3 linked regions of the Mus musculus genome follow. The protein of the gene in region 2 interacts with the protein of the main gene of each other region in a pairwise test. Links are inferred from orthologs where the notes say so. Each region holds a gene or a part of one and is shown on either strand. Other genes may lie near its edges.

The links.
Region 1: the proteins of Tle5 (region 2) and Nab2 interact in binary tests that used the Homo sapiens proteins (3 or more experiments, as listed by UniProt). The two-hybrid records come from large-scale screens. The link is inferred for Mus musculus from reciprocal best matches to the Homo sapiens genes TLE5 and NAB2.
Region 3: the proteins of Tle5 (region 2) and Wdyhv1 interact in binary tests that used the Homo sapiens proteins (3 or more experiments, as listed by UniProt). The two-hybrid records come from large-scale screens. The link is inferred for Mus musculus from reciprocal best matches to the Homo sapiens genes TLE5 and NTAQ1.

Annotation. Positions count from the first base shown.
Region 1 is NC_000076.6:127,664,162-127,667,913, reverse strand, and holds the start of Nab2 (NGFI-A-binding protein 2), read left to right. Parts: upstream 1-1,210; 5' UTR 1,211-1,455; coding exon 1,456-1,538; intron 1,539-2,775; coding exon 2,776-3,649; intron 3,650-3,752. UniProt on the Homo sapiens protein: Acts as a transcriptional repressor for zinc finger transcription factors EGR1 and EGR2. Isoform 2 lacks repression ability.
Region 2 is NC_000076.6:81,564,553-81,566,918, forward strand, and holds the end of Tle5 (TLE family member 5), read left to right. Parts: intron 1-120; coding exon 121-165; intron 166-260; exon of another isoform or gene 261-295; coding exon 296-358; intron 359-739; coding exon 740-814; intron 815-919; coding exon 920-1,141; 3' UTR 1,142-1,819; downstream 1,820-2,366. UniProt on the Homo sapiens protein: Transcriptional corepressor. Acts as a dominant repressor towards other family members. Inhibits NF-kappa-B-regulated gene expression. May be required for the initiation and maintenance of the differentiated state.
Region 3 is NC_000081.6:58,154,819-58,158,470, forward strand, and holds part of Wdyhv1 (protein N-terminal glutamine amidohydrolase), read left to right. Parts: intron 1-320; coding exon of another isoform or gene 321-385; exon of another isoform or gene 386-507; intron 508-3,083; coding exon 3,084-3,199; 3' UTR 3,200-3,652. UniProt on the Homo sapiens protein: Mediates the side-chain deamidation of N-terminal glutamine residues to glutamate, an important step in N-end rule pathway of protein degradation.

The sequences.
Region 1 (3,752 bases), about 46 Mb from region 2:
ACCCGCCCCGACCCACACCACCCACGCCCTGCTGGGGCAAGCCACTCACAAGTGCTGAGCAGAGGGGCGGAGCCGAGGTTTCAAACTAGAGGGACGTTTCCTCTGGCCAGTCGGCCACGCTTTCCACCCCCACCCTCCCTTTCCCCAAAGGCCTACACAACCCCCGCGTGCCCAATACCCCCCCCCCAACCCTCCTAGCCGTGGGCGTGTAATGGGAACCAGATGGGACTAGAAGAAACCGAGGGGGTTGGGCTCCTTGAAGGCGGTCCTCCACGGTGGACAGTCACGTAGACTACTCTTAGCCTTTTGCTCAGCTTCCACTTCACTGTCCAGAGAGGTTCAATAACTCATGACCTCAGAGAAGGTACCTGCCTTTTCCTGGCTTTGCTATCTAGTCGTCCAAGCAGTAAGGCCTGGCCATCAGAAAAGAGGGTGCCACGAAAACATGGTAAACCCATCCGGGCTCTACCTAGCAACCCCGACGTGCCTAACCAACGCTCAAGTAAATAGTAGATTCTAGTATAACTTACGACCAAGGTTTGAGAGCCGCCTCTTCATATTACAACCTTTAGGCCAGAGAACGGTGTTAAGATACCGAAGGGATTCCTGCGCAGCCCCGCGCTAACAGGTTTACCCTAAGGATACATCCTAGGGGAGCCGAGCAGGAGGAACAGCACACCCCGACCCTTCGCTAACTTTTCCCCCATCACTTCTAACATTCAAACTAACGGCTCGGCGCGGCCAGAGTGCGGCCAACGGGCGTCCGCGTCGTTGTTTGGACGCGTGTGCACGTACGTGCGCGTGTCTTTGTATACTTGTGCGTGGTTGTGAAACTGCGCTCTCGGCTCACAGGAGTAGGAGTGGTGCAGGGAGTAGGAATGTAGCCGGCGGGGCGCTCACGTGGGTACGTGGGCGCAGAGAGGGCCGGCTGTGCATCCGGCGTGGGCGGCAAGGAGCGACCTGCCCCGCCCGTTGGGTCCCCAAGCTCCCCCTTCCACAGCTCGGCCTCGGTCACCTCGGTCCCCAACTCAGCGCCCGATTCCTGAGTCCCCGCTCCGCCTCCACACCTCCCCCCCCCCCCCTTCCCCCAAGTCTCCTCCTCTCAGTCTCCACAGCAGCCTCTCCAAGGCTCAGGCCTGGGCTCCCACCCACCGCCTCCGGTCCCAGCCCCCGGTTCTGCCCACGCCCTCCTCCCGCCAGCCCGGCAGCCAGCGCAGCGCCGGGCCTCGCTCCCTGTGCGTCCTGCGGGGGAGGAGGCGCGGAGAGGCGGCAAGCGCAGCCGGGGAGGTGGGGGCAGAGGCACAGACAGAGGCGCGGAGGCTCCGAGAGAGAAGACGTGGAGGGAGGGACGGAGCCTGGACAGCGGTGGACCCGGGCCGCGCGCGCCAGGCAAAGAGCAGCGCGCAGCAGGCGCCGGGCACCGAGAGGGGAGGCACTGGTGATCTCTGGCCGTCCATGCACAGAGCTCCCTCTCCCACAGCGGAACAGCCACCTGGCAGAGGGGATAACACACGCCGGACCCCGCAACCCAGATTCAAGTTAGTGGGCAAAAGGAGGTGGCAGGGAGTGGAGATGGGTGGAGTTGGACTCCGGAATGGGGTCTAAAGGGTGGAGGTCGAAAAGAGGACGTGGGGAAGCGGGACGGAGGTGGGAGGTGGAGACTGATGGAAAAGGGGGTGAGTATTCGAAATAGGGGATCCTGGAAGCAAACAAAGACCCGATGAACCTGGATACGATAGAGTACTGCCTCGTTTTCCACTCCAGGTTTACTCAGTGGGCATAACCTGGCACATGAGCCCCCTGCAAAGAATGTCCCCCCAGCCAGGGGAAGCTCCAGAGCTTGATCTGTCAACAGTGTGAGGGGTGGCGGCTCTTAGCTGTCTCAGTGTGTCATTAGCAGGCATCCGGGAGAAGGTGGTTCCTTTGAGTTAAGCATCTGCGGGCCTGAAGGGGGTGTGCTTCAGGCCTCCCTTGTCCGTGAAATGACCATTCACAGGGTGAGGAGGGGTGCAGCCCCTTCCTCAAGAGACCTTCAACCTCTCCCGCACTCCCTTGTCGAAGATAAGGGTGGAAAACAAGCGAGAGGAGAGTAGGCGGGAGCCCCCAGGCGGTTTTCGCCCACAGACGCTGCTACTGTGGGAGTGTGTGGGAAGAAGGGCCCCAGAGCAGAACAATCAAGGCTTCCCTCCCCCTTTCCCAGAAGAGAGGGGCCTGCTGAATAGTAGGAAGGATCAATCAAAGGAGAGGGGGTAACTGAAGGGAACTGGGCAGCCTTTGGAAAGTTGGGACAGAGTCTAGGAAGGGTGCTTTAATCCTTGGAAGCGAAGAACAGGAGCAAGGGTCTACCAGGTTCCCTAAATGCCAAGGAAGAGGCCACACCCCTCCCTCTCAGCTACCTGGCCAAGGAGTACAGCTGCCAGCAATAGCTCTTAGTATTCTAAGTTAACTTTAATATGGGATGTTACATTAAGTAATGTTGAGGCTGCTGAGTATTTAGGGGGAAGAGGTAAGGACTTAGTTGGGAGGGAAGTGGGTCCAGCCATTTCAGGGAAGTTATGAAAAGTCTCAGGGCTCAAGATGGTGCTGCCCAGACCAGAAAGATCAAAGTAAAAGACGAGGTAAGCGTTTTTCCTGATAGCTTAGGTCGGGCAACCGGCCTTCTGTGCTCCTGGGGATCGGAGGGCACTGTCCAGGAAAGAGGGCAGTTGTTAGTGTGGGTTGGTACCCCAGCAGGGCACTCATACTCACTGCCTCTCTCCTGCCCTTTCTCCTCAGGGCAAGTGCCCCAGCCATGGCACTGCCTCGGACACTGGGTGAGCTACAGCTGTATCGGGTCCTGCAACGCGCCAACCTCCTCTCTTACTACGAGACCTTCATCCAGCAGGGAGGAGATGATGTACAGCAGCTGTGTGAGGCTGGCGAGGAGGAGTTCCTGGAAATCATGGCACTCGTGGGCATGGCCACCAAACCACTCCATGTCCGACGTCTACAGAAGGCTCTGAGAGAATGGGCCACCAATCCAGGGCTCTTCAGCCAACCAGTGCCTGCTGTGCCCGTCTCCAGCATCCCACTTTTCAAGATCTCTGAGACAGCTGGTACCCGGAAAGGGAGCATGAGCAATGGGCACGGCAGCCCAGGAGAAAAGGCGGGCAGTGCTCGAAGCTTTAGCCCCAAGAGTCCCCTCGAACTTGGAGAGAAGTTGTCGCCACTCCCTGGAGGACCTGGGGCAGGGGATCCCCGGATCTGGCCAGGCCAGAGCACTCCAGAATCTGATGTTGGAGCAGGGGGAGAAGAGGAGGCCGGGTCTCCCCCTTTCTCCCCACCTGCAGGGGGAGGAGTCTCTGAAGGGCCTGGGGTTGGGGGGGTGGCAGCTGGTGGTGCAGGGGGTGGTCCAGACCGCCTGGAACCAGAGATGGTGCGAATGGTGGTGGAGAGTGTGGAGAGGATCTTCCGGAGTTTCCCCAGGGGTGACACTGGAGAGATCGCATCCCTGTTGAAGCTGAATAAGAAGCTGGCGCGGAGCGTGGGGCACATCTTTGAGATGGACGATCATGACGCCCAGAAGGAAGAGGAGATCCGGAAGTACAGCGTCATCTACGGCCGCCTGGACTCCAAAAGGCGGGAGGGCAAACAGCTTAGCTTGCATGAGGTGAGGACCCCGGGTCCTCAAGGCTGCCCTTCACTCCTGGGGCTCAGTTCACTTGCCTCTGAGACTTCTTCCGTCTTCCACCTCTGTATGACTGTCCCCACGA
Region 2 (2,366 bases):
CTTGAAGAACAAATAGGAGCTCACTGGATTGGGAGTAGCCTTGCTGGAATGTGTAGGGAGAGGCAGGCCACCCACAAGGCCACATCCCTTCGGTCCCTGACACCCCTCTCCACCTCACAGTACTATGAGATGTCCTACGGATTGAACATCGAGATGCACAAACAGGTAAGTCTCACTGTCCTCCTCCATGTCCTCAATGCCCTGTGATTCCCAGACTGAGCGTTAAGGCCACTCCCGTTACCCCCTCCCACCCCTCCAAGTGCCCCAGGTACTGAGGGAAAATCGTGTGTTCCAGGCGGAAATTGTGAAGAGGCTGAATGGGATTTGCGCCCAGGTTCTGCCCTATTTGTCACAGGAGGTAAGCAAGCCACCAGCAGGGGGCAGTGGGGTCCCCTCCGCACCTTGCTGAGCACTCCCTGGGCACGCACCTGCCCTTTCTGAGCTTAGCAAAGGTGAGACGTGGAGCAGCTGCACTCAGACCCCTGTGGCAAGGCAGAAAGAGCTCCCTGGGTGGGCGGGCACAGGCGATGGGAGCCCCCCCCCAGCTCTAAGGAAATTCCTGTGAAGTTGGATTCCTAGTCTCCCACCCCAGCAGCCCCTGAGCCCCTAGGACAGGACTTCTCTTGCGCTTTTGCACTGGTTGCCTACTGCACAGGAGTCGCCATTCCCCCGCCCCCGCCCCTCAGTCCCTTTCCAGCTTTGCCTGAGAGAACTCTGTCCCCTCCCTTGCCTATTCCAGCATCAGCAGCAGGTCCTGGGAGCCATCGAGAGAGCCAAGCAGGTCACGGCTCCTGAGCTGAACTCCATCATCCGAGTAAGTCGGAGCCTCTGGTGGACTGGGGACTGACTTGACCTGGGTGGCCAGGGTCAGGTGACAAGACCCTGGGCTGACTCTGTCACCCCCACCCCCACCCCACAGCAGCAGCTCCAGGCTCACCAGCTGTCCCAGCTGCAGGCGCTGGCCCTGCCCCTGACACCGCTGCCTGTCGGGCTCCAGCCACCGTCCCTCCCTGCAGTCAGTGCAGGCACAGGCCTGCTGTCACTCTCTGCTCTGGGTTCTCAGACCCACCTCTCCAAGGAGGACAAGAACGGACACGATGGGGACACCCACCAGGAGGATGACGGAGAGAAGTCGGATTAGCTCTTGGGGAAGGGGGAGGGGGGAGACCAGGGGAGACAGGCACAGAGAGCGCAGTGTTCTAAGGGCCACACAGCACACAGCTCTGTCACTACCCAAGCTTACACCTCCAGTCCTGGTTCTGGCTGTGCACCCTGGGCCTAGGGGACGCCAGAGGGACACCCCAGGCTAAGGGTTCTTCCCCACCTTCAACATTTCCCTGGGCCACAGCCACCAATCTCGGCCCAGAATGTACACAACGCTAGCTGCCCCTTTCCACCCTGTGCACCCCGAATCTGCCCCTATCCCCTTCTCTGCTTCCTGCACTGCACACCTGCTAGTCCCAGACCCCTCCCCCCAGCTCCCCCAGCTCCGGTTCCCTCAACCACAAAAGAAGGGGACAGAGAGAAAGCATTGGCTCGGGACTGCAGTGGGGGTGGGCACCCCACAAACTTCCCTCCCCTCTTCCCCAAATAAACGTGAGGGTTAAAAGTTGGTTTGTTTATGATTTCTTTCTTGTGCCAGTATTCTATAGCTATCATCTCAGAAAGGAAAAGAAGGAAGCCCCAGGAGTGTCTGTCATAGGGTTAGCTTTGTTGGTCGCCTTGGTCTCTGTCCAGAGGTCAAAGGCCAAGCCGCTGTACTGAGGATGGGGTCTAGCTGTGCCTTCAAAATAAAAACATGAAAAGGTTGGCCACTGTGTCCCTGCTTCTGTCTTGTGGGTGGGGACCCCTTTCCTCAGGGCACCCCGTGTCCTGCAATAAGACATCCCTGGAGCAACCAAAGACCCAGAGAGGGTGAGCTGGGGACCTGGGCCCAGACAGTGCAACTCAGTGCTCAGATTTCACACTGTTTTGGCAGGGTGGCTGTGGTACCCACATGGGTCCCTTGGTTACCTTCTGGGAGATGGCCTGGATGCTCCCTGTACCCCTCCCAAGCTAGGCTGTCCCCTGGGCATGCGCCTCGGTTTGGGGACCTTTTCCTTTCTTGTTTTTCTGAAACAGGGTTTTCTCTGTATAGCCCTGAATGCCCTGGACTCATTCCTCAAACTCACAGAAATTTTCCAGCCTCTGTTTTCCAAGGCCAGGGATTAGTCTTGTGTGCCACCTGTTTTCTTTATCTGCTTTGTTTTCTGTTTTGTTTTTCTGTTTGCTGGTTTATCATGTCTGTGTCCTGTTTGAGGACGCCTTGCAGGGATCTGTTCTCTTCTACCGTCTGTCCCAGGAATCAAACTCGGGGTGTCAGGCTT
Region 3 (3,652 bases), on a different chromosome or scaffold from region 2:
AGCTGCCTCTGCCTCCCGAGTGCTGGGATTAAGGGTGTGTGCCACTACTGCCCAGCTGAGTTTGGATCTTCAGTGCCCACACAGAGGCCAGGTGTGATATGCAACCTTTTTTTTTTTTTCTTTTTTGATCTATTTATTATTATATGTAAGTACACTCTAGCTGTCTTTAGACACACCAGAAGAGGGCATCATCTCATTTTGGGTAGTTGTGAGCCACCATGTGGCTGCTGGGATTTGAACTCAGGACCTCTAGAAGAGCAGTCAGTGCTTTTAACTGCTGAGCCATCTCTCTATCCCATGATGTGCATCTTTTGTCCTAGCACAGGACGGGTGGATCCCTGAAGCTGGCTACGTTAGTTGGACCAGTGAAGTCCAGCTTCCATGAGGAAGGAACCTTCTCTTAAAACATGAGGTGGAGAGCTACCAAGGAAGACACCGGCTGTTGACCTCCATTTTCCACATATGTGATGCACAGCCCCCCATGTACCACATAAACAATCCTATCTTAAGAATATTGTTTGTTTGTTTTTAAGAATTATTTATTTATTTTATGTATAAGAGTACACTATAGCTGTCTTCAGACACGCCAGAAGAGGGCATCAGATTCCATTTACAGATGGTTGTGAGCTACCACGTGGTTGCTGGGAATTGAACTCAGGACCTCTGGAAGAACAGTCAGTGCTTTTAACAGCTGAGGCATCTTTCCAGCCCAAGAATATTGTTTTATGGGGGAATTTTAGAGAAGTTTTAGGAAGAGAAAGAATATGGCCAAAATACATCATATGAAACGCTCAATAAATAAAAACATTTAAAAAGTGTTTTTTTATTTTATTTAAAACATTTTTCAGCACTCCGGAGGCAGAAGCAGGCAGATTTCTGAGTTCGAGGCCAGCCTGGTCTACAAAGTGAGCTCCAGGACAGCCAGGGCTATACAGAGAAACCCTGTCTCGAAAAACAAAACAAAACAAAACAAAAAATGATAATGATATCAAAATGTTATTAGCACATACCATTAATCTCAGTGTTTGAGAGGCAGAGGCAGGAAAATCTCTGAGTTCGAGGCCAGCCTGGTCTATAAATCAAGTTCCAGGACAGCCAGGGCTACACAGAGAAACCTTATCTTGAAAAACCAAAAAAAAAAAAAAAAAAAAAAAAAAAAAAAAAAAATGTAATTACACTGTTTTCCCCTTTCCCTTTTATTTTTTAAAATTTATTTTTATAATATTTTATACATATGAATGTTTTGCTTTTGTGTGTCTGTGCACCACATGGTGCTGAGGAGGTCAAATGGGGACATTGGCTCTCTTGAAACTGGAATTGTGAGCCACCATCTAGGTGCTGGGATTCAAACGGAGGTCCTCTGCAAGAACAAATGTTCTTAACTTGGGAGCCATCTCTGCAGCTCCTCTCTTTTACTTACTTACTTTAGACTTATAAATGAGGACACTCTCCTACACTACTTATTTTAGACAGGATCTCACTATGTATTCCTGGCTGGCCTGAAGCTCACTCTGTAGACCAGGCAATTTTTTTAAAAAAGATTTATTTATTATTATACATAAGTACACTGTTGCTGATTTCAGACACACCAAAAGAGGGCGTCAGATCTCATTATGGGTGGTTGTGAACCATCATGTGATTGTTGGGATTTGAACTCAGGACCTTTGGAAGAGGAAGAGCAGTCAGTGCTCTTACCCGCTGAGCCATCTCACCAGCCCCAGGCTAGTCTTAAATTCATAGAGATATTCTCCCTGAGGGCTGGGATTAAAGGTGTATGCCACAATGCCTCTAACTCTTAAAAAAAAGGAAAAAAAAAAAAGAACAGATTTGTTTTATTCATGATTGCTTGCTTGCATACATGTACCCTCAGACCCAGAAGTGGGTGTTGGATCCCCTGGAGTCACAGATGGTTGTGAGTTGCACGTGAGTGCTAGGAACTGAGCCTGGGTCCCCTGCAATGGACGCCAGTGCTCTTAGCCACTGAGCCATCGCTCCCTGCTTCCTTAAGAATATTTTTTACCCGGGCAGTGGTGGCGCACGCCTTTAATCCCAGCACTTGGGAGGCAGAGGCAAGCGGATTTCTGAGTTTGAGGCCAGCCTGGTCACAAAGTGAGTTCCAGGACAGCCAAGGCTATAACAGAGAAACCCTGTCTCACAAACAAACAAACAAACAGAATATTTTTTAATATGCATATTCTCTTTCCTTGCCATCTATATTGAAGACACTGGGAGTAAGAGTGACAATGTGTTGTTTGTGACTTTGTCCTTGCTGTCCCTTTGAATTTCCTGTAACTTGCCCATTTAGCTTGGAGATTGACAGTTTGATTATGTATGCGCCCTTTCTACAAAATTATTTTTAAATAATTTCAGGCTTCTAGAAAATTTGCTAAGTAGGACAGAGTTCTTGCATAACCCTCCCTCAGGTTCCCTTAGTCTTAAGTTTTCTTTTTTTAAAGATGTATTTATTTTTAATTTTTAATGCATATGGGGGTTTCGCCTGTATGTATGGTAGTATACCTTTGTGTCCGGTCAGAAGAGGGCATCAGATCTCCTTGATCTGGAGTTACAGATGGTAGTGAGCCACCATGTGTGTGGCTGTTAGGCATCAAACCTATACCCCCTGGAAGAGCAGTCAGTGTGCTCTTAATTGCTGAGCCACTTCTCCACGTCTTTGGTGTTAACAGTAGCATATAACCATGGAAGCATTAATAACACTGTTCAGTTTTTCAGGGCTTCTCACTCACTCCCTATTTCTGGTGCAGAATCTAACTCAGGGATATGGCATTTAGTTGTCATACCTTTTTTTTTTTCCACCAGTCGGTGACAGTTCCCTTTCTTTCCTCTCTTTTACAACCTTGAAATGTGAGAAGACTATTGGCCATTACACCCTGGAGCATCCTTCCATAGGGTGACATGATGCTGTGTCTTGAAGAGATTGCTATGTGTTTGATGTGAGGACATTGCAAGAGTGATCTTGAACTCCTGTTTATTTGAGTGGACTCCTCACCCCTTAGGTTTCTGCGTTCTGCTGCTGCTGCTAACCTGAAATTTATTTCAGCAGACACTTTTATGTTCTTTTCTAGACTCCAAAATGAACCTGAACGACTTCATCAGCATGGACCCTGCAGTAGGATGGGGAGCTGTCTACACGCTGCCTGAGTTTGTGCATCGGTTCAGCAGCAAAACCTACCAAGCCTGACATCCGGGCTGCAGCTAGAGAAGCTCTAGGGTCTGAGTAAGCCATCCTTCCATTTAAGAGAGAGCGTGGTACAGGTGGCCTATAGGGATATTGTTCTCACTAAATGTGAGTGGAAACATTAGTGAACACAGATGAAAATGAATGACTAAGTCCCCCACCCCCTTTTTTTAGGCTGGGGATCTATCCCAGAGTTCTATCTCCAACCCTAAACAGTCAGACCCCAGCCTCAGACATAGATATGCCACATTCGGTATATGGTTGCTAAAATGTTTCCATGGCTTGCTTACTTCGGTGTGTGATGACGTAGGCCAGCAATTGCTTTTGTAAAACTAGAGGTGTGGACCTGGAGTCGGCTCCTTTTGTCTGCTTCCTCTGCTTCCTGTCTGGCTAGACTCTAAACTCCTTGAGCACAGGTTTGTGGCCTGTGGCTCTAAGACTCTGTTGCCCATTAGA